Coturnix japonica: one gene and its partner. Each later gene encodes a partner of the first gene's protein in a complex. Links are inferred from orthologs where the notes say so. Each region holds a gene or a part of one and is shown on either strand. Other genes may lie near its edges.

Evidence for each region.
Region 2: the proteins of FZD4 (region 1) and NDP are in contact, whole or in part, in a crystal structure (PDB 5BQE), measured with the Homo sapiens proteins. The link is inferred for Coturnix japonica from reciprocal best matches to the Homo sapiens genes FZD4 and NDP. Residues at the interface, in NP_036325.2 of Homo sapiens: Ser51, Met52, Gln54, Asn55, Leu56, Gly57, Gln95, Phe96, Met105, Thr107, Lys109, Ile114, Asn152, His154, Met157, Cys158, Met159, Glu160, Gly161, Pro162; in NP_000257.1 of Homo sapiens: Asp33, Ser34, Pro36, Arg38, Met40, Arg41, His42, His43, Tyr44, Val45, Asp46, Lys58, Met59, Val60, Leu61, Lys102, Lys104, Leu106, Tyr122, Leu124, Ser125.

Annotation. Positions count from the first base shown.
Region 1 is NC_029516.1:168,783,997-168,799,355, reverse strand, and holds FZD4 (frizzled-4), read right to left. Parts: upstream 8,315-15,359; 5' UTR 8,031-8,314; coding exon 7,782-8,030; intron 7,111-7,781; coding exon 5,782-7,110; 3' UTR 2,447-5,781; downstream 1-2,446. UniProt on the Homo sapiens protein: Receptor for Wnt proteins.
Region 2 is NC_029516.1:100,197,398-100,212,650, reverse strand, and holds the start of NDP (norrin), read right to left. Parts: upstream 10,008-15,253; 5' UTR 9,864-10,007; intron 8,941-9,863; exon of another isoform or gene 8,805-8,940; intron 1-8,804. UniProt on the Homo sapiens protein: Activates the canonical Wnt signaling pathway through FZD4 and LRP5 coreceptor.

The DNA of each region.
Region 1 (15,359 bases):
AATACATTAGAAGCCTGCAATTCTTTTTCAGGAAGGACGTTTTCCTTTTCCTCAGAGTAAGCTCAGGAAATGAGAGAAGCGGTCAGGAAGCCAGCTAAGCAACGATGAAAACAGAAAGCAAAGAGCCATGGGTAACTGTCTTACCCATGATATTTTTGTCTTTAAATATTTTAAAGCATTGATTAAAACAAAAAAATGACAAAATTAATGCTGAATCTCCCTCTGAAGCGTATCTCATTAGTCTGCTCATTTGCTTTTGCCAAGCAGATGCAGCAAGGACTGAAACAACGTTACAAATTACAGCCAGCTTTGCAGCACGATAATATTTGTGTTTGGGATTTAACCTGTTTCCTCTGGTGTTGTACCCAGCGTCTGACACACGGAAGGTCCACACTGTCCAAAATAAACCAGTGAAGACTGAAGAACAGCTGTTTCTCGGTGATCCCTTATCATGTGAACCCTTGTTTGCTGCCGCTGCCCTCTGAGCCACCTCTGTGCTGTGTGGTAGGCTGTTCCCAGAGTGGAAAACAGAACATCTGGCTGTCAGCAACACAAAGCTGCTGCAACAGCTGGAGTTTGCCAGGATGCTGCTGGCAAGTAATAAGCCCAATTAGCCCAAGTGTGCTAAAAATGTGCTGCTGTGCATCAGAGGGAGAGCTGCCATAGTGTTGTGCCACAGGGCTCTCACCCATGGGTGAGCAGCTCAAACCCAGACTTGATCATTCCAGTGGAAGCAACAGACTTGTGTTCCAAGCAGCTTCACTGGAGACTTTGCAGCTCCGGCCTTGCAGGGAGGAAGAGGAGGGCTCAGGGAGCAGCTCTGCAGTGCTCTGCCTTCAGGTGCAGATCTCAGACACAATCCAAGTTAAGAGTAACTTGCAACATAAAATGAAAAGTCTGGAAACTGTTTTAACCCAGAACTTCTTTACTGCTCTGTCCTGCAGCTCAGTGCCACATGTAGCCAGACAGACAAGATTAGGAGATGAAAATGTAGTGCAGTTACAGAAGTTGATGCTCCTGAAGGTCCTTCCATCCAAGTGAGGTGATTCAGATTCTCAGAATGGGTGGCTGAGGAAGGAGGGTGTGCTGGAGACCTCTACGATGAAGGCAGCATCTCATGACACCACATTTTCACATCACTGGGACTCTCCTGAGTTCTGGCTGCAGAACTCTGCTCTCCTTCGCTATGAACTTCTCATCACTTACTCTTTAAAGAGAGTATCAATGGTGGTGCTCAAGAAATGTAGAGATGTGACACTGAGGGATGTGGTTTAGTGGTCACAGGCATGGGCTGATGGTTGAACAAGATGAACTTATCGGTCTGTCCAACCTGTATGACTCTATGATTCTCCATTCATGCCAACAAATCCAACATGAGGCAGATCCCCACTTCCTAGGAGCTCTTTAATATTTATGTTTAACTGTAGCTATATTAAAGACTCCTAATTATAAGTTTCAAATCAGAGATCTCATTAATCCCCAGCTAAGAACATTACGGTGATGAGCTGCCAAAGGCATGAAGAAATCACTCTAATTATCAGTTTTAGGTGCTGCTCCTCAAAACTTGATTAGCTACAGATACACAGGTGATAATTCCTACTGTCTTTATAGTACATCTTCGCTATTATCCACTGTAGTCTGATTTAGTTCCTTATTAGAATAACACAATGCTAATTAAGCAATCCTGCATACAGAACATTTTGTGATGTAGATGATTAACTGGGTAAAGGTGGTGATTAATATGACAAACTGTGCTATCAGTGTCAAAAGAAACGGGTGAAGGATGTACACAAAAAGAAGGAACTCCCACTTTTCTGGCAAACAGAAGTGACAAAAAGGAATGAAAAGTAAGTGGAGCATTAAAAAAACTCAAGAAAATAAGCTTTAAGTAAATAAATAAATAGATAGATAGATAAATAAATGTAGACAGTAGGTTGAATTAGTGGTCATGCTGCTTCTCCCCACCAAGCGCCAGGACCCAAATTCTCTGCACATCTCTGGGTGCACACACTCTTAACACATGGAGGAAAACACAACTTGAGGCAGAGCTAAAGCTGCTAAAGCAGCAGCTGTGTTTCCATGTTTTCACTCCTGTTTGGTGTTGGTGACCCACTTGAGACAAGCCCAAGCACAAGCACACAGCACAGCACACCCTCCCCAGTCAGCACTGTGTCCCGCATACTGCCTTGGGAAGACTTTCTCTTTCCACCCCCTGTGCAGGCACTGAAGCGTGTACATACTTTGCTCTTGCCCAACGATGTTTTGTTCCCAGCTACTTCCAGTTGGCAAAGGTGCTCTCCCAACCCACATGTGATGCAAACTGTGCTGCTTTAACCCGTTTGGGCCATGCATTCATTGCAGTGTGAACACTGCTCCCTTCAGGAGCAAAGATTTGCAACAGCAGTGTGGCATATATGGGAAACAAAGTCACCGAGACCACAAGGACTGCCAGGAACGCCCTGGTTATCCACAGAGGTTAAAGTTTATTTTGATATAAAAATTAAATAGCAAAGTTTGTTTTATTTTTTTTTTACAGTGATAAATTAGAAATTTACAGTACATACATCAAAGCAGATATATCTTCTGTACACCCCAAATAATCAGTGTCTATTTCCTTAGAAATTCAGGTAAAGGAGATGACTTGTCTGCTTGACAAAGGAGCTTGTACCTCTCCAGTAGATGCTCCTGAGACCCGTGGTCAGTGTTGTGGGACTAGGGGGCACAGCACAGTGCCATGAAGGTAAGGGCCGAAAGGTCTCTGCTTGTATAACTGCAGCAACTGAATGTCCGGGACAGGATTAGTTACACATTTTTTGGCTTTAAACTCTTAACAGCATTGAAATGAGAGAATGTATGAGTTGCAGATACTTTTGTAATTGCTAGGTTTGGGGTTGTCTGCTCTGACTTCCCACTCAGCATCCCCAGAATAAGGCAAGGTGAATGCATATGGATGCCCAGCGAGGTGAGGGATGCTCCATCCTTCAAAGAATTCAAGGTCAGGCTGGATGGGGGTCTAGCTGATCTAGTTGTAGGTGTCTTGTTCGTTGCAGGGGAGTTGGGCTTGGTGACCTTAAAGGGTCCCTTCTAACTCAACCAATTCTATGATTCTGTGATTTGTGGGATGTGACTTTGTTGCTGCTACAGCTGATGTTGCTTTGGGGCTGCCACAGAGGCCTAGGAACATGTTCCTTCAGGAACAGCAGCTGGTCCCCACCTGCTGCCCATAGCATTTGAGTGCCTCATGCTGCAGTGGTCCCCAGCTCCCTCATGAGGCTACTCAGAGTTGTCCTCTTTTCATTCATTTTCAGTGTCTCCAACCAGTCAAGTATATCCGTCTGACACAGTCCACAGGGTCACAGGCAGGGATCTGATAACAGGAGTACTACTTAACATCCACTTCTGTGTACATAACACAGTTAAAAATGCTGTTTATTGGATCAGTCAGGTCAAACAGGAGTCATGTCAGCCAGGAGACTATCCAAACTGCTTCAGATTGAAGGACGCATGAGTGAATGTGACACCTTGGCACAGCCTGACACTACGCTGCAAGACAAGGCTCATACTGTGTCCTCACCCTCTGCAAGTTAAAATACAGCTGCTGATCACACGCCCCTTGCTGCGATGGGAGATGAAGCACATGGTGGAAAGGCTGAGCCATCGGAAGATTTCTGACTCGCAGAACTCCTTGCCCACATAGGAATAACCAGATCCAAACACAACACTAATGGTGAGAGAATTTAGAGAGAGGATCAAAAGGCTCAGATGGTATGCAACGCTGGCCGAGACAATGGCTGCACATTGAGCAGAATGTGTCAAGTTGTCACTAGTCCTGCTGGAGAGGGAGCCCAACCACAAAGACTGCAATTAGGGTTGGTTTGTTTTTTCAGTGTCTTTTTTTTTTCTTCTTTATTTAATAAGCTCTAGCACATGTTTCAACACTGCCGTTGAAACAACACACGCTGCTGGGACAGAGCAGGAATGAACTGTGGTTTGGGAAGCACGTGGGCACCTGTAGGAAAAGTGAGGGCTGTGCTAAAGCAATATGTGTGCTCTCAGCTGCCCTCAAAGATCACAGCAGTCAGGGCACTGGGGGATGCCCAGTAGCTAAGCAGGATCCACACAAACTAAGCAAAAACGTGGGGTACTCAGAGCTGAAGGTCCTTCAGAGGGACAGAGCACTGAAACAGCATTGTCTTAAATATTTATGGGTTATTGCTGCTCGCACCGCCTTTCTTAACAGCCAAACAAGTCCCAGACATAAGGTTCAAGCTCCCCATGAGCACAAGCCAATGCCTCCTCAATTAAAAGGATAGGAAAACTTGGCAGTCGCTGTGAAACAACATTATTTGTAAAGGAGTTGGATCTCTTCTCTCGGATCCCTTTCCAAAAACTGACAGAGTCTCTGTCGTTCCTGAGGACTGAGTGCCTGCACACATTCTGTACGTATCTATATAAAATAAAACAAAACCACTCCATAGCTGTCAGTGAGGAACTGGAGCATCGTTCTGAGGCAATCAGCTGTACTGCGATGTCATGGACTGAGAATGTTCTTTTAATTGTAACTGACACACATAATTATACAACTGATCTGTGTGAACATGAGGTTGCCAAGGAACTCGACGTTTCTCTTCCCCCAGACTGGCGTCTGCAGAGATACCATCACACTGAACGAAATATATTAAGACTTAATTGCTTCATGCCGTGGGTCTCCAGAGAGACAGATAAGTTTACTTGGAAAAAAACTGACATTGTTCTAAAGAGACCCTCAACTCGTTTTTCTCTTTCCTGTAGGAAGGAGCACGATAACGTAAGACTTTATTTAAAGCTATTAAGCTCAGCAGAACGAAACAGTGAGCTGGAAATAGCAGTAGCACCTGAAGGAATAGGAACAGAGAGGCTGGCGGACGACGACAGCTGATGCGTAACAGCATGCACAGTTTCCAGATTCCCACAGTTCCTCTACTGCTGACCACGACCTCAAGCAAAGCTTATTTAAAAATATAAAGCATGGGCAGAATCACTGAATGGTTCAGGTTGGGAGGGACCTTGGGAGGTCCAAATTCCTGCTCAAAGCAGGGTCTGAGCACTCAGATCAGACCAGTTTATAGGCGGTGAAAAGAACAAGCCAATATTATTACTGGACCATCAGATGACTTAAGAGTCATCCTCACTAATGCCTCACTAAATCCTTCTTTCGGGTAATTCCCAGACCAGTTCATGTGATTCTCTGTTGCAGGACCTGATTCTTGGCTGACTTGTGCAGCCTAAGAGTGTGATGGAATTCCCCAGGGCACAGAGACACGGCCCTCAGAAAGCACTTCCTTCACAATGCTCAGAAAGAAGACACCTATCTGAGGTGCTCCATCTTCTAGTAACTTCCCCCTGTCTCAGCCCAGAATTTTAACCTGGACCACCTTTCCTCCAGCAGCTGCATGATGAAAATAAAACAATATCCCACAGCTATGGCCTACTATCCCATTGCTTTTAAAGACTTTGGTATATTGCATCCTGCTTTTAAAAAAGAAGGAAGACGATGTGTTTGGATATTTCACAGCATTTAAAGCCTCCCTGGGCTTTCCTGTTTTGGGCAGCACAGCTTATGGCTTTTATATTTCCAGCATTACTTGTTTGTTTGTTTATTCTTTAAGGCATTATTTTTTCCTTCCCCAAGAGACAAGTTTTGTAACCATCTCCTTACTCAGCTCCCAACACTTACACTGCAGTTCTTTCACATGATCAGTCCTTCAGGTGAGAGCAGACCATCTGGACGCTGTCCTTTTCTCACACCACAGTCTCGTTCCCTTTCCCAGGTTTCACCCAACCATCCGCTCTCTTCTCCCGTTTCACTTTCCCTGAGTTCACCAGTCTGTTCGAGCACTTCTGCCACGTGTGCAGAGTTTTAGCTGACCAGATCCACATACCTGAAGTGATTCCCACCAGGAGGGACATGAAGATTTTGAGCATCTCCACAGCCATATTGGAATCATCAGCCGAATAGCGGAAAACGGCCCAGTTGGAGATCTCATAGAAATAACAGGCAATGACACACGTTGCCGGGACGGTGTAGAGCACTGAGAAGACACCAATTTTAACCATCAGCCTCTCCAGTTTGTCAGTTTTAGTTCCATCTTTCTGAAGATTGGATCTGATTTTAAATAAGGCCACTAATCCCGCTGCAATGAATAAAGTTCCAATAACCAGGTAGGTAAAAAGTGGAGCAACCACGAAGCCCGTCAGCGCGTCCAGGTTCTGGTTCCCAACGTAGCACAGGCCAGTGAGCTCATCAGCATCTACCAGTCTCATAATCAAAATGACGATGGTCTTCACAGCAGGGATAGCCCAGGCTGCAATGTGGAAATAAGAGCTGTGCATTTCTATAGCTTCATGGCCCCACTTGAGTCCCGCGGCCAGAAACCATGTAAGTGTCAGAATAACCCACCAGATGGAGCTAGCCATCCCGAAAAAGTACATCAGCAAGAAAATTATAGCACATCCTGTGTTCTTAAGACCTTCTTGGATAAGAACAGGTTCTGCTGCCTCTTCAAAATCACAGGATATCCTTTCCCGGCCCACAGTTAGCCTCACAATATAAGCAATGCTATAAATATTGTAGCACATGCTCAGAAATATGATTGGGCGCTCTGGGTAGGAAAATCTGGATGAATCAATCAGGAAGGTCAGGACTGTGAACGCAGTTGATATGAAGCACAGACTGGCCCACACAGCCATCCAGATATCTGTGAACTCCTTTGCTGACCTGCTGTAGAGCCCAGCGTCGTAGCCACACTTCAGGACACAGTCCAGGTTTCTCTTGACCCAGATGTACTGATCCGAATTAGATCCCATGCTGTGGCACTCCTCTCCAGGCTGCAAGGATGTCTTGCTATGAAGGGGAACCTCTTCATCTCCTGGCCCCTCCATGCACATGTGGTTGTGATCATTCTGGGGAGGGAATTTGCTGCAGTTCAGGCTGTCCGGCCAGGCAAATCCAAACTCTTTTAAAACAGGTTCACATCTTCTTTTGACGGAGAGGCACATGCCACCACAGGGACCTATAGGGATGTTAATCTTCTCCGTGCACATCGGGACATAGACCGAACAAAGGAAGAACTGCAAGAAAGAGAAACAAAAAAATAACGAGCGTGTTAGGAGAGACTCCAGCAGGTCAAAATATAACAAGTTTTTGCCTTTTTAGCAGTAAGTTTTGGTCCTTTGCCTCCAACAACAGGAAGCAACGTGAAACAAACCCAAAACAATAAAAGCAGAGGAGGAAAACTCCTAGAAATGCTGCCTTCTTTCAGTTCAAATGCACTCCTCAGGCAGAGCCCGCATGTTTTGCTCCCTAGATAGATGAGCTCCACGCAAACTGAGCCCATCAGTTTCAATACAGTGAGCGGGACTCAGCCAGATGTGAACCTCCAGGGTTTGCCATTTAGGAAAGAAAACAAACAAACAAACAAACAAAACAAACCCTAAACAAATCGAAGAGGTCTAAACCAAATAGATTCGTTGGAGGCACCGCCTGGATCTCGCAGCTAGCGAGCAAACAGAAGAAAAGGCATTTAGCGAACGCTTCGGTTCGAGGTCCCCCCGAGCACGGCGTGCTCCTCTCTCACTGTAAGGCCGACTACTTTCTTGTTTTTGCAGCGGCAATACAACATCGTCGCTTTCTCCGCTCCTCGGAGCACCTCGCACGCAGCTCCGCGCCCCGGCCGGTGTCACCACCGCGCTCAGCTCCCGCTGCCGGACCCCCATCCCCCCTTTCCCCGTCCGACACTCACCTGGAGCTGGCTGGAGCAGCCGTACTGGATGAGAGGGGTGAAGGTGGTGAGCTGCAGCTCGGCGTCCGCTTGCAGCTCGTGGCCCACCAGGTTGGGCATCTTGGTGACATTGTAGCCCAGGTTCTGGCACATGGCGATGCGGATGGCGTCGCATCGCCGCTCCTCCTCGTCTCCGAAGCCCCGCGCCCCGCCGAGCAGCCCGGCCAGCAGCAGGGCCAGCATTCGGCCCCCACCGCCGCTCCGCTCCATCGCCCCCCGGCCCCACCTGCCCCGACCCCGGGCTGCGGGCTGCGGGCTCCAGCCCCGGCCGCGCCGTGCCGCACGGGCCGGCTCCAACGGGGAGGGGCCGGGGGCGGCCCCGCTCTTAAACCGCCGAGCCAAGAAACTGCCCAGGGGAGGGACGTTGCCTCCCCGATCCTCAGCCTCCTCCCAGCGCCGCCGCCCCGGGGACGTGCCCCGCGCTGCCGGGGAAGCGTCCCGCTGCGCCCCGCTGTCGGGGAGCCTTGTCGGCAGCGCCCGCTGCCAACACCGGGCGCTCCTTCACTCCGGGGCGGTGTGCCTGCTGTCCCCAGCGTGCGTCCCCTCCAGGCCAAGGCGTGAGACCCGCTCCCACGAAGCACTGCCTGCCCCGGGGGCTCCACGAGAGTAGGGCTGCCCAGGGGCAGGGTAAAGCCGAGCCTTCCTCAGGCTGTGGGCAGAGCCGGGGCAGTTTCCGAGGTGCTGCCTTCCCTCTTTCATGTATCCGCTTCGAGTCACACAGAGGTTTGGGTTGGAATGAACCCAAACCTCTGTGAACATATATGAACATTAAAGCTCATCCAGTTCCAACCCCTGCCATGGGCTGGTTGCCACCCACCGGCTCAGGCTGCCCAGGGTCCATCCAACCTGGCCTTGAACACCTCCAGGGATGGGGCACCCACAGCCTGATCCAGAGCCCAAGCCTTATGGCTTGATCTGGACAAAAGGAGGCTCAGGGGAGACCTTATCGCTCTCTAAAACTCCCTATTGTGGCAAGGTGGGTGTTGGCCTCTTCCCCAGGTAACAGCAATAGGGTTCTTACCTAAGAACCCTATTGCTGTTAATGAATGTGAATGGCCTCAAGTTGTGCCAGGGGAGGTTCATGTTGAATATTAGGAAACAATGAGGCATTGGCACAGGCTGCCCAGGAAAGTGGTGGAGTCACCATCCCTGGAGGTGTTCAAGAAATGTGTACATCTTGGTTACACTTAGGTCGTGGTGTTCCTTCGTGGGCAGCAAGAAATGAGGAGGGCACTGCTATCATTAGCTCATGGTATTTGTGTAAATCTCATAAATATGATGGTTGTAGAACTCATGAGTGATGAGAAAAAGGCTGTGGGATTGAGGGCTGTGGGACTGAACTGCGGAGTGTTAGTGGGAGAATGGATTAAGAACAGACAAATGAGGCTTGCACTCCACATAATTTACACCTGTAATAAAATCTGGTAGAGCTGGTTGTTCCTTTAGCAAAAAATATGTCATCTATTAATGAAATGTTTGTAGAGCCCCGGTTAAATGACCTGGCTGGGTGCGTGTCACTGTGCTTGCAGTGTGGGACATGTGTGGGTGCTCTGTCTCAGAGCTGTGTGTCCATCTGTGCATGGCCATGGCAATGATCTTCTTCCTCAAGTGCTGGGGATTGTGTTTTAATGGATGTTTCATGAGTGCAGGTATTTACATAGCCCTCATCACCCTGATGCTTTGCTCCAATAAAACGACTGTGGCCTTATAAAACCCTTGTGAAGCAGACAAGTTATATTATCTTAACTTTTTTAACACAGGGGCAGACGGTGCTGTGGTCCCAAGGTCGTGCAAGGAGCCTGCAGTGCAGTCAGCAGCTCAACCCGTATCTGGTGAGGGCCGTATTTACTCATAAGCATTGCTTTCTGTGACCAGCCGTGCTCAGCTGCTAATCTCAGTTGGTGATAATGGTGTGAATGCACACAGTGTACTGCAAATGTCCACTGAGCCGTTCCCAGCCCCACCGAGAGTGTGATCTACATCAGGACAGGGAATGGGCACTGGGCGTTCCATGCAGGCAAACACAAACGCAGAAGGCAGAGACTCCCATGGGAGAAGTTGTGGTCTAAATTATATAGGTAAGGAGATTGGAGGGAGGAGGATCACGGTGACCCTAAAAGCTATGAATCTTTTTCTTAGTATCATAAAATCATTTGATCTGGAAGGGACCCTTAAAGGTCATCTAGCCCAACTCCCCTGTGATGAACAGGGACACCTACAGCTTGCTCAGGTTGTTGAGAGCCCCATCCAGCCTGACCCAAAGATATGAAAACCCTTTGCACTTGCAGATTGCTGTGGCAATAAGGCACCGTAGTGGGGTAGACCAGAGCAAACCTTTGCCTAATTCCCTGGGAACAATTTGCCTGCTGCACACATTCAGCAAAGCCCTCTGCCAATAGACCCTTTGACTCAGTGGAAGGAACAGGAGGACATGTTAGAGCTGCAGTGGGATACAAATGTTTCTCAGAAGAAGAGCCCCCCCCCCCGTCCCCCCCCTTCATAAAATAATAACTACCACTATTGCTTTTTCTTTGAGAACACAAAAGTAAATATTAGGAAGTGCTACACTGCCATGTTTGCTTTGGAGAGTCTTTTGGATAATGGGAATTAGTTTTCAAAACAAGAACGCTGGCAAATCGTAGCAGAGATCTGAGTTGGAAAAAAATGGCGATTCCACTGCTTTGAACCTTGTGCATATATTAACAGTGATTAAATGTCACCACGATGAGCATGTGTATAATAGCTTCTCGAAGCAGATCAAAGTAAGAAACCTCTGGGATAGTTGGTGTAGAGATTCTTAGATTACTGGACAGTTGTGAGATTCTGGCCTGAGTCCTGCACAGCCCAAGCTGCGTTACTTCCTTGTTTATTATTTGAATATATATTTAAGAAATCTGATTTTGAGATTGTCTTCATTAAAGAATCAGCTGCTAAGAATTTCCCTATTTATTGTGGCTGCCAATAATTATATCTGGTTTTTAGTTTGAGTTATCTCCTGCTTCCAGCCTCTGGCTTTTGTTATATCTTTAGTGGCCGGGGTGAGAAGCCATTCCCAAGATCATCCCTGTGGGTAATGTCAGACCGAATTAGTCACCCTTTGGCCTTTTAGCAGTAAGCAAAAAGGACTGAAGTTCCCAAGTTTCTTACTGCAAGGTGTCTTATCCAGTGATTTAACCATGCTTTTGTTTTTAAAGGAGTGAGATTTGAGCCTGAGTTTTCATCCCTTTTGAGTCAGCTAAGACAAGCAAACAACTGCAGGGGGCAACTCACATTATAGGAATTACATGAATATAAGATATTACTTATAGTCTGTTATCCTCTTTCTATTATTGTTCTTTTCCTCTGAAGTTGTTAAGTATTTTTTCTTTGAGTATTTACTTAAGCTGCAAGCATGTTTCTTTATTATAGAACATCTCCTGTATCTCTCAGATACTTGCAGCAGGAGATCTGAGGGGATTCATAACTGAGTATTTTCAAGGCATCAGTGTTTTCCTGAAGGCTGATGTTAGAATGTGGTTTGGCTGTCCAGTAGGAGTAACACTCATGTCAGACATGCAGATCTTCATTGCTACATGAGATCAGCCTGCTTGTACATCCAAGGATGTATCATCTGCCCTTTAGACTGCAGCCTCACATTGGTAGACCCTACTGCTTGTGGGCAGACCTGAGGAAACTCAGGCACCCTCTTGATTTCTTATCAAGCGTGGATACTGCACTGGGATATTTCCTTAACCAAATTTAGATGTCTACTTATGGTCAGGTGGATTGCATTCTAAAAAGCTAGCCCAGAAGTACAGGGTCACCGGGAGATGTCTAATGGTGGCTGGCAAATGGCCACTCCTGGGACACAGAGGGAATTGACATCGCCATCCAACAGATTTATGACAAAGTTCTTGGATATGAGTGAGTGAAACAGGCAGGTTTTTAAACATGTGCAACTCTTTGAGATGTTCTGGGATATCTACTTACGTTACCACTGAAACCATAAGATTGCATTGATCGCTATTCTCTGTAACTTCTCCTGTCTACATTTTCCAAAACTCAGCCCAAATATCTGTTGGACATTTGTCACTCGCATCGTTTATTGACAGTTCCACAACTCGTAGCATTTGTGCCTTTGTCTTGGTTTATATTAAACTCCATCGTCTGTCCATTGACTTTCTCTTTTTTGCTTATAACATTCCCTTAATTCCTTCTGCATTTGTTTTCATTCAGCTCAATGTCTTCTTTCTCCCATTTATCGCTGATGTTTTTCTTAACCTTATAGTTCTAACAATGTTATTAAAGGTGTTTTCTTTAATTTTTCGCCTATACCTTTAGCTGAATTTTTAAAATCAAGGTAAATCGCTTTCATAATGGCTTTTTCTGGAATCTAGTAAAATCTTTACAATTGATTCCTGGTTACTATTCACACGTTTGTTATTCTGTACTTTGAGAGGCTGACCTTTTTAAAGCAGGAGGTATGTCTCTGTGTCGACGTGGCTGTAGCCTCCTTTAAGGTACTGCCGTGCAGCTGAGCTGTGACACATCCATACAATATCTGAATTCACATGTGTAATTCCTTGCATGCCAGCATGGGTCAATAATTGCTCCATGACCCCTGAAAGTCAATAATGTTAACTCAGTCTGCACAGAGACCTTAGACTTTGTTTTCACAGCATTGTAAACAGGAAATTTCAGTGCTGCTTAATATGCACCATTTCAAGAAACTGTTTGCATTTAAGCTATCATCAAAATGGGTGCCAGTTTTAGAGAATTTCTGAGGTTATTTGTGTGGGTGGAAATCTGAAAGGCACAGATGTATCTCACACACCATACAATGGGATACCAAGAGCAAAGCTGGCCATAACTCTCATAAGATGACAGGTGTTCATATACATTTCACTTTATCTGTCCTAGAATTTTTCATGCAAGTATTTCTCTTTCTCGTCCTAAGAATATGTAGATTTTTTTTTAACAGTTTTGCCAAAGCCCCTTTCCTCTGATAATGAAGGATTCATGTATAGAATCATTATAGGATCATGGAATGATTTGGCTTGGAAGGAACCTCAACCCCCACGTTTCATACTAGACCAGGCTGCCCAGGGCACCATCCAACCTGGCCTTGAACACCTCCAGGAATAGATGGGGCATCCACAGCCTCTCTGGGCAGCTGTTCCAGCACCTCACCACTCTCATAGTAAAGAACTTCCCCCTGAAATCTGGCCTAAAGCTTCACTTCTTCAACTTAAAACCATTTCCCCTTGTCCTGCTGTTATCCACCTTTTCAAAGAGTTGACTCCCCTCCTGTTTATAGGCTCCCATTAGGTACTGAAAGGCTGCATTGAGGTCACCCTGCAGTCTTCTTTTCTTCAGGCTGAACAAGCCCAGCTCCCTCAGCCTGTTTTTGTATGGGAGGTGCTCCAGCCCTCTGATCATCTTTGTCGCCCTCCTCTGGACCATCTCCAACAGCTTCCTGTTTCCTGTATTGGAAGCCCCAGACTTGGATGCAGTACTGCAGGTGTGGCCTCATCACAAGAGCAGAGTAGAGAGACACCATCACCTCCTTGTCCCTGGCTCTTCTGATGGAGCCCAGGATGTCGTCTGCCAGATTAGCAGAGCAAATCAGCATTTATTTGGCAAAGACATTTTCAGGATCTGGTATGACAGAAACATTTTGGCAATGTTTCTTTTTTTTGGCCAGGCTGGATGTGGCTCTGGGGAGCCTGGTTAGAAGGTTGGTGACCCTGCATGCTGCAGGGGGGTTGAAACTGGATGATCATTGTGGTCCTTTTCAACCCAGGCTATTCTATGATTCTGTGATTCTATGATACTGTGATTTGACCAAACCACCCAGGAAAGCTGTGTTGCAGAGATACAGTATGCCAGATTTCAACAAAATCTGCTCCTTTTGGGAAAATCCACCAACTGTAACTTGACCCACAGGGGAGGCAGAAATCAGCCTGAACTTTGGAATCGGTGCTGCTGTGTCCCAAAATGGCTTTCAGCTTGAGCTGCTGCTCATATTTGTGTCTGCAAGGCTCAGGGATTTGCATTTTGGCCTGAAATTTTTCACACTTGATCATGATTTATTTTATTTTATTTTATTTTATTTTATTTTATTTTATTTTATTTTATTTTATGGAAAATGATAAATAGTATTCTTAGAAAAAAATAAAATGGCTCAGAGGCCTTTTTCATGCTCAGATAACTTCAACACAGCTTGGTTTTATAACTTTGGATTTGGCAAGTGCAGAGTGCAGTCCTGAATGAGGAATGCACTTTTTTGCCTTCATTTTGGAATAGCAAATTAGTCCGAATCTTTGGAAATAATAGACTGATGGTTCATGAGGCGTTATTTAACCATGGTGGAAAATGACAGACCGAGCTCTATTTCTCCTGGAGGTCACGAGTCTTGCTTTATAAATATGGCTTAGTTTCCTTTTTGCAGCGTCATCTTTCCTGCTAAATCTGTCCCATTTTGCTTTCTCTCCGCAGCAGCAGCAGAGGTCATTTCTGCTATATTTTGTCTCCATAAGCTAGGCTGGTTGTACAACCTTCTCATATGTAAGCAGACTTCAGAAATTAAGCTGTGCTGAGGTACACAGCCCTCAGAAGAGGAGCTCAGGAGGCAGATTTGCTGATACGCTTCAGCTGTTCTGCGCTGCTCCAGCAGTACAGAAACAAGCTGCTTTAATGAATCGGTTACTGCAGGCTTAAGGTTGTTCTGTGTCACTGGAGCAGCACAGAGCTGTGAAGCATGCTGATGAATCTTGCCACAAATCTTGAAATGTCTTATTTTGCCCATTAAAAAGCCTGTGTGAGCTGATACGCTACGTTTAATTACATAACAGCAAGTATTGACTTGCAGGGCATGGCTGGTAAAAAACCATCTTTGTCATGTTAGGCAGGCAGTGGGTCATCCTCCTGGGAAAGAAATTTGACATCTGCCAGGAGTTGAAGTTAGTGAGATTTATGCTCCTTTCATAGGGTTTGTGAATATACCAAGGGCGGATGGATGCAATGCTGCAAAGCTGTCTGATAGTACCTGTTGTCTGTACTCTGATGAAGAGCAGCTCACATGCCAGCTAAGGGGCACCATGTTACACACACAGCTGCATTCAGATCCTGCTAAAATGGCAGAAGGGTTTCACCAGGCAGCAATATGTGGCTCTTCCAGCTCTGGCAGGACAGCCCAGTTTACAGTGGCACTGTTCTTCACTTTGTGGGCCATCTAAAATATAGGTCTGAGCGCAAATCAATTCCAAACTCCACTCTCCCCTGTAATTCCTTTAATTTTTGGATTTATTGATGGCTGTTTTCTTTTCAGATGGTCACAGTATACTCCCAGGTTGGGAGTCAGTATAGTTATTTCATTCAAGCATGTTATTTTTTTGCTGATATGTTTATACAGATAGTCTTCAGCATAAATGTCATGGCAGGAGGTATTTGCTTTATTCTGTTCTCTCTTCCAGTACAGTTTATCCCTCTTCACACAAACGGAGTTTCTCTTCTGTAAACCATTTCTATATGACATTCACATCTTTCTCTACCTATTCC
Region 2 (15,253 bases), about 69 Mb from region 1:
TAATTAGGGATGATCTGTGTGTTAGACATTTATGAAAGCCTTTTTTGGGTTCGAACTATTGTTCACGTGCCTAAATAGAAAAGGAGAATTTATGTGACTGTATTTAACTGACAGTATATATATTTTTTTCTCTGTGCCTGATATTTGACCTGCTGTACTTAGCCATAGAAGTCATAGAAGTCCTTTATGTAAGCAAATGTTTTACAGTGGATGTGGCACTGAAAAAATACTATGTCTTCTCAGTACAGGCAGTTTAAGCAAGGCCAAACACAGGATTTCAGACACATTTGCACACACCCTCCTTCATCTCAACAAATATTCCTCCAGACATTTCAGCAAGACGAGAGGGAAACCCCTGTCATGGGAGCTGGGACAGAGCCCTCCACAGAAGCAGGGCTGTGGTTCACAGAGATGTTGTCCAAGCATTAGCTAACAGGAGGAGTGATGAACTTTTTTTTGTGTTTAACCTTTTACCTACTTTCCCATTCTTCTTTCTAAAGAGGCTGACCAAAACATTGCTTGGCAAGGTCTCTCTCCAGCATAGCTAACCAGTATTACACACCCAGCAACTCCTTCTCTGTCCAAGAAAATATACTTGATATTGGATGGACTCATCTCATTTACCACTACATCCAGGGATCCCCATTTCCCACTCTCTCTGTCCCATTCTTCTTTTTTTTTCCCCCCCCCTGTATCTTTCTATGGTTTTGATCAGTATGATTTAATACAGTGAGAGAAATCTGGCGTCCTGGCTCAGTTTTCAAAGGCTTATCTCTCTAGTTTGCTTCAGGAAATAATTGAATGACACAGAGTCTGCCTCACAAAAACACTGTGAGAAAGTTGAAAAGGAGGAGGGGAAAATGTGAGAAAAGGAAAGCGTCTGTACCTTCTTTAGGATAAGCACAGCATAAAATCTGCACAAAAAGTCTTAGCAGACTCAACAGCCTTTTAAAATTTCCCTGATACTTTCCTGGCAAATAAATGAAGTGTAGCTCGGTAATAAAATTCCAACAAAAGACAAGCAGAGTGTTATATTTGTTAGTAAAAAGAGACCACCTTTCTGTATTTCATGACCCATCTTTCATGAAAAAGCTGTGATCTGTTGCTGATGGACATACTGGCAAAATGAATGTGTTGGAACTGGGACTGCAGACAACACTGAGATATTTGCACCTCCAGAATCTACTGTCATACCTATGTTAGGTACACATATACATTACTCGAGTAAATATACCATATATTGAGCTATGTGGAAAATATATATATATCTCACAGGAAAGTTTAGACATACAGAAGTTAGTGTGTATTTGGACCAGAGGTAAAACATTTTCTAGACTGGTTATAAAAGGTCTAAATATTTTCATTCAGGTACATCACCTTGACATGACATTCCTACTTCCACCTAAACCGGGCAGTGGGATTTTGTTTCAAATTAGCACTCAAGTTTTATTTTATATATATATATATATATATATATATATTCTTTTTTGAAACACTGTCTGAAATTATAAAATCCTACACGTTATGTGGTATCAGGAATTACATCTGTCTGTCCACCCATCTGTCTCAAAGCAGAAGTACACTTCTAATCATTAATTGTTATAGATGCACTTAAAGATGATATTTTGTGTTTTATATCATTTGGAACATACCACTTTTTTTGGTCAAAATCAACAATTTCAGATAAATATTTTTCTTTCTTATATATACATTTTTTAATTTGAGCAGTCCTTCTCTTACTTCTGATCTGAAAACCTGTGGTAAGCATTCAATCTCCTGAGCTAAGAGGAAGGTGAAATGCTTCTGTTTTACAGCATCCCACAAAGAAGATGAAGTGGTTACTGCATCTTTTTAGGATGAAAATTAGATATGAAAAATATTTGGCCAGAGAATGAATGAAACTTCCAATTCACCATGCTAAATTACAGCTGTCATTCAAAACTGCTACAAATGTTATCTAAAAACTGCAGGGAAAAATGGAAGCCATCCCAAAGCCAGATCATGCAAACATTTGATCTAAGACTGCACCACACATGAATACTGGTGCAGAGTTAAAGTTGTTTTACTAACTTCTTGTTATCATTACCTGTTCTTTGAATGCTCGAAGTAAGCATTTTTTCACTTACAGTCTCAATGTAATTTAAATAGCAGAGGAGGTTAAGATTTTTGGTTTGTGCTAGGAACAGAATAAAAATTCCATCATCTGGAATTATTTAGTCAGTTGCTTTGAGAGAACACAAACAGAAATTCTCTTTTGCTATGTATCATGGAAAAAATCAAGAAACAAGGAATTCTCCAAAGGTCTATTGGATCTGCTCAACTTTTACCCTGGAATATAGGAAGGGAGCAACAGAAAACCTCATTTCTGGTGTACTTCCACTTAGCTGTTCCCTGCTTATGAGCCTGTGAATTAGGCATGCACGTAGGTTCGGCTTGGCCTTCATTTGCAGAATATTTTTTGTTCTTGAGACCTCTACTTGATGATGATGATGCAGTTCAATTCACTCAACATCTTTCATGTTCCAGAGGCTGCCAAAATCCAGTTGGAGTAGCAGTGTGTATATATAACTAAGCCCGGCCTTGCGTGTTGTGCATATTTGGTAAACACAATTACTTGGAACCTGCCATGTGGTTCCCTCATTCTCAATTAGTTGTGTAAACTGAAAAGCTATAAGACCACTCAGTTTCTCCAAAATCCAGCCCTGAAAAACTGTTACTAAATGTATGTGTGTGTGTATGTGTGTTTAGATTGCTGCTGCTGTTCTGAGAAAAACACCACAGAGATCTTTATGAGGGCAAAGTAGATTTTCTGATAACTTTGTCATACCTGGAAAAAATTGGATCAGAAGAGCAGAGATTTGGGGCATTTGTACCCTGCTTAAGATCTGAACTGGAATTGCTCCATATGGTGATCCGCGGGGCAAGGGAAGTGATTGTACATCTCTGCTCTGCTCTCATGAGGTCCCACCTGGAGTACTGAGTCCAGGCCTGGGGCTTCCAACACAAGGAGTGGAGCTGTTGGAGTGGGCACAGAAGAGGGTACAAAGATGCTCGGAGGGCTGGAGCACCTCTCCTGTGAAGAAAGGCTGGGCTTGTTCAGCTTAAAGAAGAGAAGGCTCCAAGAAGACTTCATTGTGACCTTCCAGTACTTACAGAGGGCCTAGAGGAAAGCTGGGGAGGGAATATCTGTCAGGGAATGTAGTGTTAGGAAAGAGCATAATGGCTTCAATTGAAAGGAAGCTACATTCAAATTAGACATTAGGCAGAAATCCTTTACCCAGAGAGTGATGAGGCCCTGGCACAGGCTGACCAGAGAAGCTGTGAGTGCCCCATCCCTGCACTCTGAGCCAGGCTGGATGAGGCTTTGGGCAGCCTGATCTAGTGGATCTGGGACCTTCATGGTCCCTTGTCGTGGCAGAAGAGTTGGAACTGGATGGTCTTTTAGGCCCCTTCCAACTCAAGCCATTCTATGATTCTAATGTTAGGATTTGTTCTGCAAAGTTAAGTTCTCCACTGCCATGAAAAGGGTCAGAGTTGGGGATAGGAGGTAGGAATGAAAACTGTTGTGCTGCGGTCACATTACATGATTTGCTCCCAGGCCTCCTCCAGGCTCCACAGCACTTCGACAGCTTCCAGGCCATGTCACCTTCCACACTTTGCCTAGGAACTGCTTGGGTGACAAAATCATAGATGTCACCATTTGAGCAATTTAATAGACTGTTACATCTCGTAGTAGAGACAACCTAACATGCTCTGCCTGATCCTGCTTTCTGTCAGCTGAGAGGCTTTATAAGATCCTGTGTATGCTTTAGTTCTGTTGATAAATGTGCTTTTCTTCTCATTATTTTACTGCAGCCATTTTCTGCCATTGAGGTAGTTGGCCTGCCTTATGTGCATTCAAAATACTTACCTATTTTTTGACTGTTGTGTTGTTAGAGAAATATCTCCTTGCAGCACTCCGACAGATTTCTCTCCTCCACTTTGCTTACAGAGGTGGCGAAGGGCCACTGGGACACAGGACTGGGAGCCCACAGGGACACTGAGGGCTGAGCCTTAAACAAGTCACAGGGATGTGCATGCCCACAGCAAAAAAGCAGTGTAGCTCTGTGCAATTCAAGAAGAAAAGGCCTGGAGGTTCCTGGCTACCAGCATGAGAAAGGAAGGAAGCAACAAAAAGGAAAAGAGAATAAATCTTAGAATCATAGAATGGCTTAAGACAGAGGGGACCTGAAAGCCCATTCAGTTGCAATTCCCCGCTATGGGCACCTAAGAGGTCAGGCTGCCCACTGCCCCATTCAACCCATCCTTAAAAACCTCCAGGCATGAGACATACATAGCAGGCTCAGAAGAAGGGGTTTGGGCCTCTTGATCTGGATGTCCACAGGAAAGAAGCATATATTCTGGTCTTACTGAGGGCTGCTCTGATCTATGACCTGCCAGCCAGCAGCTGCAGAGCACTGTCCCACAAAACTCAAGATGAGAAAATGAACACTAGTTCTGAACAGCTAGAAATGTCAGACAAACTACTGGAAAAATGCCTACATTTCATTTTCTGCTCTGATATTTTGCTCAATTGTAAGTATTTCTGAAGAAAAATACTGCTGGTAAGCAGACTGAAATATATACATATATATGAAATAGGAAAACCATGGTAAGTCCTAAGAAACACTGAGTCAGTAATTGCAGCACATGCAAAGGAAGAACTCATAGCTTTTGATGGCCCTGGAGCTCTGGTGGCTGCTCTGCAGGGCCCCACAAGTAGGGGCACAGTGAGGGGACCGGGAGCATGAGATGGAACAATTCCAGCTGAACGGCACTCGAGCAAGCAAAGTTTTGCTCCCCTTTTCAAGTCTCCAAGTGTGTTTTCAGTCCTCCAGGTAGCTGAGTGGGGGGAGAGCTACCAGCGCTGCTGGGCAGTTGAAATAACAACGTCTAGTGGGTGCTGTGGGCTGGCGCCCAGCCAGCAGACAGGCAGGGACAAAAATGGAGAAAGGTTTTTAATACACTTGCAAAGAATAGCTACTAGTAGACAAAAGAGCGCTTGTATTTTTATTCTTTCTTTTTGCTGTCTCTAGGAAACTTTAAATAGATTCATTAGAGGCATGCATAGGATCTGTCTCTAATTAGCCCCAGGGCAGGCAGAACTGTTTAATGGCAAGGTGATGCCAGCCTTGGATTTTTTCTTCAGTCTTGTGTCTTACAGAGCAGTCCTGATCATGAGTTGGGGATGGAAACATGGAGGAATCCAGCTTTGCACTTGCTCATCCAAACAGTGCTGAATGGCATTGCCCCTCAGGTTCAGAGCCAAGCTATATTCAAAAGGTTCCCATCTCTCCCAGCAGGAAACCAGCAGGGTGGAGGCTGCTGGGCACATGCAAATATTCCCAGCTGAGCATTAGCTATAGGATCTGCTTCAGTAATTACCTCTGTGTAAGTCTTATGACCCAACACAGGGTAAAATGACTCTTGGCCAAATTACAAGTTGCTGAGAGGTCTAGGGCATTCGGGCATGTGTTCTCTTACCTGTTGGAGTGTGCTACAAAACAGTGGATGTTTCTGGTTCTCTGGCTTTCATTCTACTGCTTTCCTGATGATTAGAGATTACTTTTAATGCATTTACTGTAGAGCTGTAGTTATCACTAGATGCAGGAATGAGTTTCTCATTCTTTAATGTTAAGCAAAGACTTCCTTGCCACCAGGATGAGCAGTGTTCTATGCATGCTGGAGGTAGCCCATCACTGAAAGAAATGTTCCCTGCAGCAAAATCCTTTTTTTTTTTTAATAGACAGGCAAAATTCAGACTAACATCTATGTACCTTGATTAATTACAGAACCTAAGCATTTGGCTCATGGTAGCAACTTTAAGTCATCTAACAGCATTCCCCTAGGTCCTACTCTCTTTGAGCTGTGCTGCTATGACAGTAATGCGATTGTCACTGCCGTGGTATGCTTAACCTTTGCCAAACCAGAGCGGAGGCATTAACTCAGATCTTCAACTCACATGTCTTAAAGGGCAACGTAACCTGTGCTGCCTCCACTCTGCTGAACCGACGTCTGCAGCTCCGTAACAATGAGCATGAAAATGTGACAAGCATGAGCCATAACAGTGATTGATGCAGGTAGAAAAATAACAAAGAGAAGCTGAAGAACAGCAATGCAGTGGAATTCCTGGGTGCGCTGTCTCCATGGCATCAGCAGCCAAATGTTGGGAGGCCAGAAGAAAGGCTAGAATTGCTCATGGCAGGAGGGATCTCTGCGAAATTCACACAATTAAATTCCAACAAAGGGGACAAGAACTGTTGGTGTCTGAAAGTGGTAGTGCCACTGTTACCCGGGTAATGGTCTGAATTAGATTATGTGAAAAAAGAAGGAATATATAGACCGCCAGCTGCTCAAAGGCTTACTACAACCTTGCTTTTATTGTTCAGCTAAGTTAGAGGTGGGGCATCAGAAGGATTCCACGCATACCACTGCTGAGAAATTTTAATATGTTCCACACTGACACATATAAAAAGGAAATAACAGCTGATCATATCCAGCAGAGATAGCAGCATCTCTTCGTATGCCTGCAAAGAAGTGTGGGCAAAGAGGGGTGCTCTTGGTCAGAGGCAGACAGCTGAGCTAACCCAGCAGCAATCCAGCATTTCTCTTGCCAGCCAGCTCACAAGTGGACTGTCGAGAAAGAAGTAAGGAAAGAGCAGGAAAAAAGGTGAAGCGGGCACAGCTACTCGCCCTATCCCAAGATACCAGGGTGTGGGGAAGGGCAAGGAGTGGAGACGCTGCATACTGAACACTGATGAAAAGAAACACATGCTTACACAACCCACAGTGATTCAATGGAACGAGATATCACAGAGGGCAAAAGTTGAACAGGGCTCAGCAAAAGGACTCAATATGGGAGGGTTGCAGTCTGAAGGGTTTTATTTTTAAAGAGTTTTGGGAAGGGCTGTTAGCTCTCAGGACTCTGAGCACTAGGTTGATGGGGCTAGGGAAAAATCTCTCATGGCAGCAAGTTCCCCTGTTGCTGTCTGCCCCAGGGTCTCTGTGCTCTGCTTTGATGTGGCCGCTTCCAGCCACGTTCAAGAGGTGATTACTCAAATAACAGGGCACTGTATTACAGGCTCATGTAGCAAAACTTTTCCAAACCTCAGAGAGGCAAGTGCCTCCTGGTACTCAGCAGGATATTAGAGGCAGAGGAACTTGTTCTATTTGTAATAGTAGTTGGTAGTCATAATTGCAATGGTAGTGTTTGGGAGAAACAGGATCTTTGTAAAATTCTACTTTCCATTAGACAGATGATCTTCCAGACTTGCTGCAAAAACATGTCTCAGTGACTTCACCCAAGCTTTGCAGCATAGGTCTTCAGCCCCCTTCAAAGTCCAACAACAACCTCGGTCACTTCCTAGTGCATCTGGCAGCGGATGCATCTGGAAGAGGATAGCAGTGGCCCAAAGAAAATGGGGAATTAATTTGACTCCATAAGGGCTCCCTGTCAAAAAAAGTCACTATAGACATCATCACCAGACTGCAAGAAGGTGATTCACCTCCTGACCACCATGGCAAAAAATATGGCAGCACTGGGAACTCAAACAAGTAAGAGTGTACATGTGCTGCCTCAGCATCTATGGCACATGAGGGGTTGTTCATTTGGGATCAGTGGCAGTTGCTGAGTGCAGCAACAGTTTGATGGCTACCTGGGGTACTGCTACAGCTAACTCTACACAATGTTGTCCATATCAAGATCATAATTGGAAAAAACAGTGGTAGCCTCTAATTATATCCCTTAACTAAATGAAATTTCTTCCTATTTTGTAAGCTGGAAATATCTTCTGTTCCTTCCCCATTTGCTTTTAACTGGAAAATCTTACAGTATTTTTTATAAAATCATTATTACAAATAAGATTGCATTGCTCCAGCATGAATAATGTTAAGGTATAAGTCACATTAGTAAGCTCTGATTCAATCTGGTAAGTAATTACTCACCAAACAGTTCTATTTAAGTCAAGGGAATTATTCATGTGCATAACTGCTCACAGATACGAATAAGGTCTCACAGTCTGGGCAAAACTGAGCATCATTAGCAATTCAACAGGAAAAAAACAGAGGTCCTGAAACATATATTTTCTTTGGAGGAAGGACAAATAACCACAGCACTGTGATTACTGTATCCACATTCATTGACCTGCATTAGACATATGAGTTGCCTCCAATAGAAAATAATTTTACAGCGAGGAACTGAGTTTGTACCCACTGGCGGTTTTAAATAATCATTTCATAGAATCATAGAATAACCTGAGTTGGAAAGCACCCATAAGGATCCTAAGTTTGCAGAGCCCTCACCTCCCAGTGACTAGGCAGGGTCACTAAACTTTAGAAACTGTAATGTTTCATAGTAAAAAAATGGTTCTTTCGTCTCTAAAGAACTGCAGAAACTTTAGCAAGTCACTTGTCTTGCCATCAGTCAGAGGTAGAAACAAATAGGATGTATTATGGGGACACTGTGGGAGAAACTGAAATCACCTTCAAGGGCAGAACAAGAAATCTGCTTGACAGTCCCACAGGAGTCAGTGCACACAGAATACCTTGCAAAATCATATCTGTCACCAGAAAATTATCACTTCAAGCTCATATTCAGTTTGAGTCCCTCTACTGACACTGGAACATTTAGCTAATACAGCCCAAACAACTGAGACTGCTCCTCACATGGTTTGTCTTTGTTACTCAGGTTTGTTGTTTTTTGTTGGTTGTTTCTTCTTTGCTACTGAACCCATCGATTTGAACTTTTATAGATTGAATTCTCTTACCTGAGTCTCAGCAGAGAGATGGGGCTTTCCTCCTCGGCAGGGCTCTCTCAGGGCACTATCCACTCCAAAGGACTGTACTTACACTGCTCTGCTGCTTTATCTCTTGGCTCATAACAGCAAAACTCTTCCTTTCTCCCTGAGAGGCAGAGAACAGCCATGCTCGTCCCCTGACACCGCTACACAGCAACAGGATGCCTCGGCACGCCGGGATTTCAGGGTGCCGAGAGCCTCCCCCTCCCGCAGCAGGCGGCCGGGGGTCCCGCGCAGCATCCTCCCTCCCCAGCGACCGCCCGCCCGGCCACAAGCACGGCGCGTCGTGCCGAGGGTCGGCTACCTACTAAATATACCCTGCGGGGCTACAGCAAAGGCAAACGCCACGGCTTCCCTCATAGGCTTCAGCCAATCAAGGATGGGTATGAAATCTAGTCTAATCCATAGCCACTGCTGTCCAGTCTGTAGTAAAGCTTCCCAGAAGTTTGGATAAATAATAACGTGCAAATTAAGGGTGCTCCCACAGAGCGTGACACACAAAGCTAGAAATAAATATTGCCTGTTGTTTTGAATTATTCTGAGTGCTCCAGCAGATGACTGGCAAAAGAAGGATGTGCATAAGTAGCAATAAAAGTAAACAGCTCAGTTTTAAAGTAGCAGGCTTGCCTGCATCCATGACTCCCTACTGCAATGGGACAAAGCCAGTGATGGCAATAGCAACACTTGGGGCAGCACCCGGCTCGTCCATTCACTCACTCCAAGCCATACAGTGAGAGCCTGTGCAGAGATGCAAACAGGAACCCGGCACACTCTCAAAAGTAAATGTTTAAGCAAGTTGCTCAGACTGTGCCACCTCTCTGTTTGCTTACAGGCATCTTCCAGGAAGACAGATGTAAAGACAGAAGGATGAGGAGACAGGTACTAAAGCTGTGCCCAGCCTACAGTATCGCATTTAAATTAAAAGTCAGCACACAGAGAACGTGTGTTTGTCTGATTAAGGGACTAAGTTCTCTGTTTAAGCCCATGAAACATTCAAAAGCTGGAGGAAACTCTAATTTGTGTGCTTACCTTCAGCAAATGCTCTGCTCCTTCCTTCCCTCCAACTCTTCAGAGAGCTAAAAAGAGGTCCTGTTGCTTCCAAATGCTTTTGTTCTGCTGTCCCTCTGTCACATGGTTTGCCTTTTATATTTGCAACACACAAAAGTTAGGGCTGTTTAAATGGAATATTTAAATTAAGTCTGATCTATGACTAAAATGAGTTTCACATTGGCATTTTCTGAGAGAGGGAGAGAGAGGGAGAGAGAATGTCAAATGGAAAAGTGCCATTGCAGTCATATATCAATCAGGGCAGCGGCAGCAGCAGCTCGCTGGCAAATGGGAATTCCACAGAAATGCAAAGCTCTTGTTATCTGAGAAATCACAAAACGCCACCAGCCAAGCTCCCCTCAGCAGGGACGACTTATTATTGGCAAGCCAGGGAATAGAAGGAAACGTGGGCTTTTGTTGTTGTTGTTATTGTTTCAGATTTGGAGATACGTATGCAAGGGCATATGTAAGACAGTGGAATACAAGTACTGAATAAAATTCCATTCTAAATAAATGCGCTGTGTGCAAGACAAAGCAAACCACAGTGCAGGGAGGTAATTAGAGCTAAGAAAATAACCTGAAAATAATAATTAAAAAATGTTATATGTATTTACACTTGGAAAATATCCATAGCAAAACTGCTTTTTCACTGGGTTACTCATTAATCTCCTTTATTTTTCCTGAGATTTATTTTTTAGATTTTATGTGAACTGTGATTAAGCTCAGATATCCTAAATCCGAGCTGTGCTGCTTTACTGCAATTGGTCTCCTAAGTTGTCTGATGTTCTCAGGCTTCCCAATTGAATAAGCAGACAAGAGTTTTCTGTATCAATATTTGTGTGTAAATCTGCAATTCAAGCACCTCAAATAGTCAGCCCCCAAATTCTGACATTTCTCTCAAATAGACCCTCATATGCTCTCAGAGGCTGAGATATTTAAGATATCTAGTTAACATTCTTCTCTATTCTCCATAGAATGTCAGTGTTTGAAGATACTTTCCTTCACACCTTTTACTCAAATATTGCCTGTTATGCAAAAATGAATGCCCTGGAAGGCTGAAGGCAGACTCCATCCAGTGGAGAAACCTACTTACAATGAGAACATCCCAAATTCATTTGCCTGTGCATGTCTCTGGATGCACTAAAACTCTTTTTTGACTCCCACAGTGGAGCATGTTTTCCTTCCCTTTGGAGTGCCCCCTAGTCATCCCGAGGCAGTACGGAGCACGAAGAAGAGCAGACCTTAGCTGGTTAATTAAAAAATAGGCGACATAGCTGGCCATTCACAAGCTGGATCTGTTCAGAGGCACTGGCCAGCAGATGGACGGGGTCCTGTGTCGATTGTGTTTGAACTCTAAAGGAAAGTTGGTATTTGATGGATGATGTTATTAACTAAATGTCTTATGTAGTATTAGATCAAAGAACAGATGGAAATTATGCCTTAAAAATAGAATAATCTAAAAGGGGAATGGCTTGTAGATGAGTAAGCATCATGGAAACAATAAAGAAGACATTCTTTGGCTTGCCTTGCTGCAGAGCCAGGTTTGGCTAACAGGATAAAAAATTGATCCACTTAGGACTCACATCCTTAGGACATTTTCCTGAACATTTTCCCCTCATATTCAGTGCTTATGTTGTTTTGCCTCTTTAGTCAACCTTCTCTCACTGGCCATGTCTGTATGGGCTCTCTTCCTCCTTTGTTCTGGGCACCCAGTGTGGATGACAGCATCATCTCCATTCACTTGGAGCTGCAGGCTGAAATGCCACCCACACTCTGGCACTGTGCTTACCTTAAAAAGACTATCCAGAACAATGCTTTTTAATTTAGCCTACACCTGCTTTTTAAACTGAAGGCATTGTCCCTTTGGTCATTCAGCTGCCATGTCCACTTGTCTCTGTTTATCTATGAGAAGGAAAGTGACTCACATATCTGGTTGCTCACATAAAAGACCTGCCATGTCCAAGACAAAAGACACACTAAGCAGCTTCTGGATAAAATCTGCCAGGAGACAGTAGATAATTCACAGTCCTTACTGAAAATTACACTCCTTGAGTTCTAAAAGGTGCAGCATAGGTTTGTTTAGTTTGTGTCATCTATGGGAGAGAATATTCTTATTAGATACTTGTTGGGTGCAAAGCACACGTTAAATACTCAGTAATTAGCAATTACATGTCATACAGTGGCATTTCTGAGAAGAAGTGCTTATTTGGTTTCTGCCACAGAAACAATTTCCAAGTGCAGGAAAATCTGCAGATATTGGACTAAATTTGACAACAACAACAAAAATTGCATTCACATTTTCATCTTCAGCTTCAAGAACACATATGGCAATAACTGAAAATTAATCAGCAGTTAATTAACCTCATAGGCTGGTGACTTACAAACTGGCACTCTCAGTTGTGGTCTGAATGAACTTACTTATGATTGAAAGCACAAAGGTAAAAGTATAAAAAATAGCCCCCCCTCCTCCTTCCAAAAGAACTATAGAATCATAGAACCATAGATTGTCTCATGTTTGAAGGGACATTATAGATTATCTAGTCCTAGCTCTGCTGTTAGTAGGGCTGTCATCCACCAGACCAGGCTGCCCAGGGCCCCATCCAGTTCCTTCAGGACCCTAAAATGCTTGGCCCCATAGGCTTCTACATATTCAGTCTCGTGAGGTGATCTCAGACTTACTCTTCTCTTACAGTGAAAAGAGATTTCACTCTCAGTCCCTTCCTAGAAGTTCAGGGAAACAAGCTGTATGGAAAGCATGATTGCCACTGAAGACTGAGGCAAAGAACTCTTTGAGTACCTCAGCCTTCTCCATGACTGTTGAAGCCAGTTCTTCTTTCTCACTAATCAGATGGAGTACACTCTCCTTTTGCCTGTCTCTTTTGCCGGATGTATCTAAATAAACCCTTCTTATAATTTTCCACATCCCTCACCAAGTTTGGTTCCATATCACCTTGGGTTTCTTGGTTCTATCTCTGCATCTCCAGACAGCCACCTTATATTCTTCCCAGGTCACCCATCCCTGCTTCCACTGCCTATATTTTTCCTTCTTATCCCTCAGTTTGACCAGCAGGTCCTTGCTCAGCCATGCCCATTTCCTGTCTATGGCCCACAGTTTTTCATATTCGTCTGCTCTCAAGCACTGTAGCTTAATTCTTCCCATAAAAAAAGTCACTCAAAATAGAAAAAGTGCAAAGCACAGATCAGAGGTATGTTTTCAGAGATGATTATGTGCATGAAATGACCAGATATTTGATAAGATGTCCTGCTCACAACTCAATTTTAATCAGAGATCCCTTCAGAGAAAGTTTTTCTCACCTAGCAGCCATAATCTGAAAACTGAGTATAGGCTCTTCCAATGGCAAACAGAGTTTCCATCCCAAGTTATTTTCATTTCAGGACAGCTTAAGGTAGTTGTCAACAGCAGTCTTTCTCCCTGTGAGCAACAAAAAATACTTTGTGAACTGTCAGACTAAATTCCTATTTTTTATACAGGTAGAATTTAATCAGATAAATCCACCGTCAAGTCTGTAGTTTTGAAGAGAAAGAGATTCACCTCTGTGTAGAGTTCTACTAGCATCCCTCACTGACTCCCCATGAAATGCATCGCAAACCTGAAGTCTTAGTATACTTGCTTCTGTATTTCACCTCTGTATGCACCTACAAAACTCTTGTCCAAACACAGAAAAGAATAACTATTACCTGCAGTTCAGTACAACTGAATTCTCTGCCCCACTGACATCAGCAAGCATCAGGTTGGCTCCTCAAAGGAGTGGAATTTCACCTCTACAGAGTGCGCTTGTTGTGAATGAAAAGTATTCAGAATTCTGCAGCAAAAGAAACCTTATGTTTCAATTTGAGGGATTTTCCAATGGTGCCAGTTCATAACATTCCATTTGTGATTGTTGCATTCTTAGACAGTGGATAACAGACATCCATATCATCAAATGTACTGTCAGAAAAGGACCACCTAGTGTGTGTGACGGTTGTATTTGTGAAGACCATGAATAGAATACATATGCAAGGGCAGTCTTTAAATGTAAACATGTACTTATGCACAGACACAAACATGTCCCCTACTGCTGCAAACAGGTAGGATGTATAGGAATACAGCGTGTGGAAGGACTGTGTTTTGTTTAATTACTGAATTGAAAAAGGGCAGATCATCATAGAATCATAGAGTTACTCAGGTTGGAAAAGACCTCAAAGATCATCAAGTCCAACCTCAGACTAACCATAGTATCCTAACTCTAACAACCCTCTGCTAAATCATATCTCTGAGCATCACACCCAAACGGCTTAAACACATCTAGGGATGGTGACTCAACCACCTCCCTCGGGAGCCTATTCCAGTGTTTAACTACCCTTTCTGTAAAGAAGTGTTTCCTAACATCCAACCTAAACTTACCTTGGCGCAACATGAGGCCATTTCCCCTCGTCCTGTCACTTGTCACCAGTGAGAAGAGGCCAGCTCCGCCCTCACTGTAAGCACATTTCAGACACTGGAAGAGAGCAATAAGGTCTCCCCCAACCTCCTTTTCCCTAGACTAAACAGCTCCAGTTCCCTCAGCCTCTCCTCATAGGGCTGATTTTCCAAGCCCTTTGTTGCCCTTCTCTGGACCTGCTCCAGTACCTCCACTCCTTTTTGTACCACTGGTAGTCTTTTTATAGCTGGAAATGTAGGGAGAAGTGAAAGTATTGCAATGATGGAGAAGGATCTACAGTAACAAGTAATGTAATATTTATATATTCAATGTACACACATGTACAGAAAAAAAGTATCCAGAACCTTTAGAGAAACTATTTTCTGCCATTTTAATAAACCAAACAGATATTATTATTAGATAATTAATAATTCTGGTACATAAAGTTATACACCCATGTATAACAACCCAGGATCAAGCAGCACAAATGTCCAGGTAATTTTTGTCCTTCATGTCTTATGTCATCCTGTCATGTGTTCCCTCAGATTCATTTTGCAAGGTTGTTTTAACACCTAACTGCCTATTTTCTTCTAAAACTTAAATACTCCTCTTGTTTTAAAGTTTTTACGTGTACATGAATGTGTGCTAAGAATATCTGGAAGTGTTTATTCCGTGGCTTTCACATATTGCATTATTATAGCAAAGCTTCTTCTACTTAGGGAGCTATAAAGAATTATGTGAAAATTAGGCCTGAGCTGTTTGGTTATTCATTTTACCACAGAAGTCAGAAAGACATATTGCCTGTGAAATATACTCAGATTTTTTTAAACAAGCATAAAAATGATTCCATGCTGTGACACAAAATTGGTGTCCCCCAAAGCTGGTGTCCTCCTGGTGCCTTCAGCAAGCAGTAGGTACAGGACACAGACACGGATGGCTCTCTTGCAATAT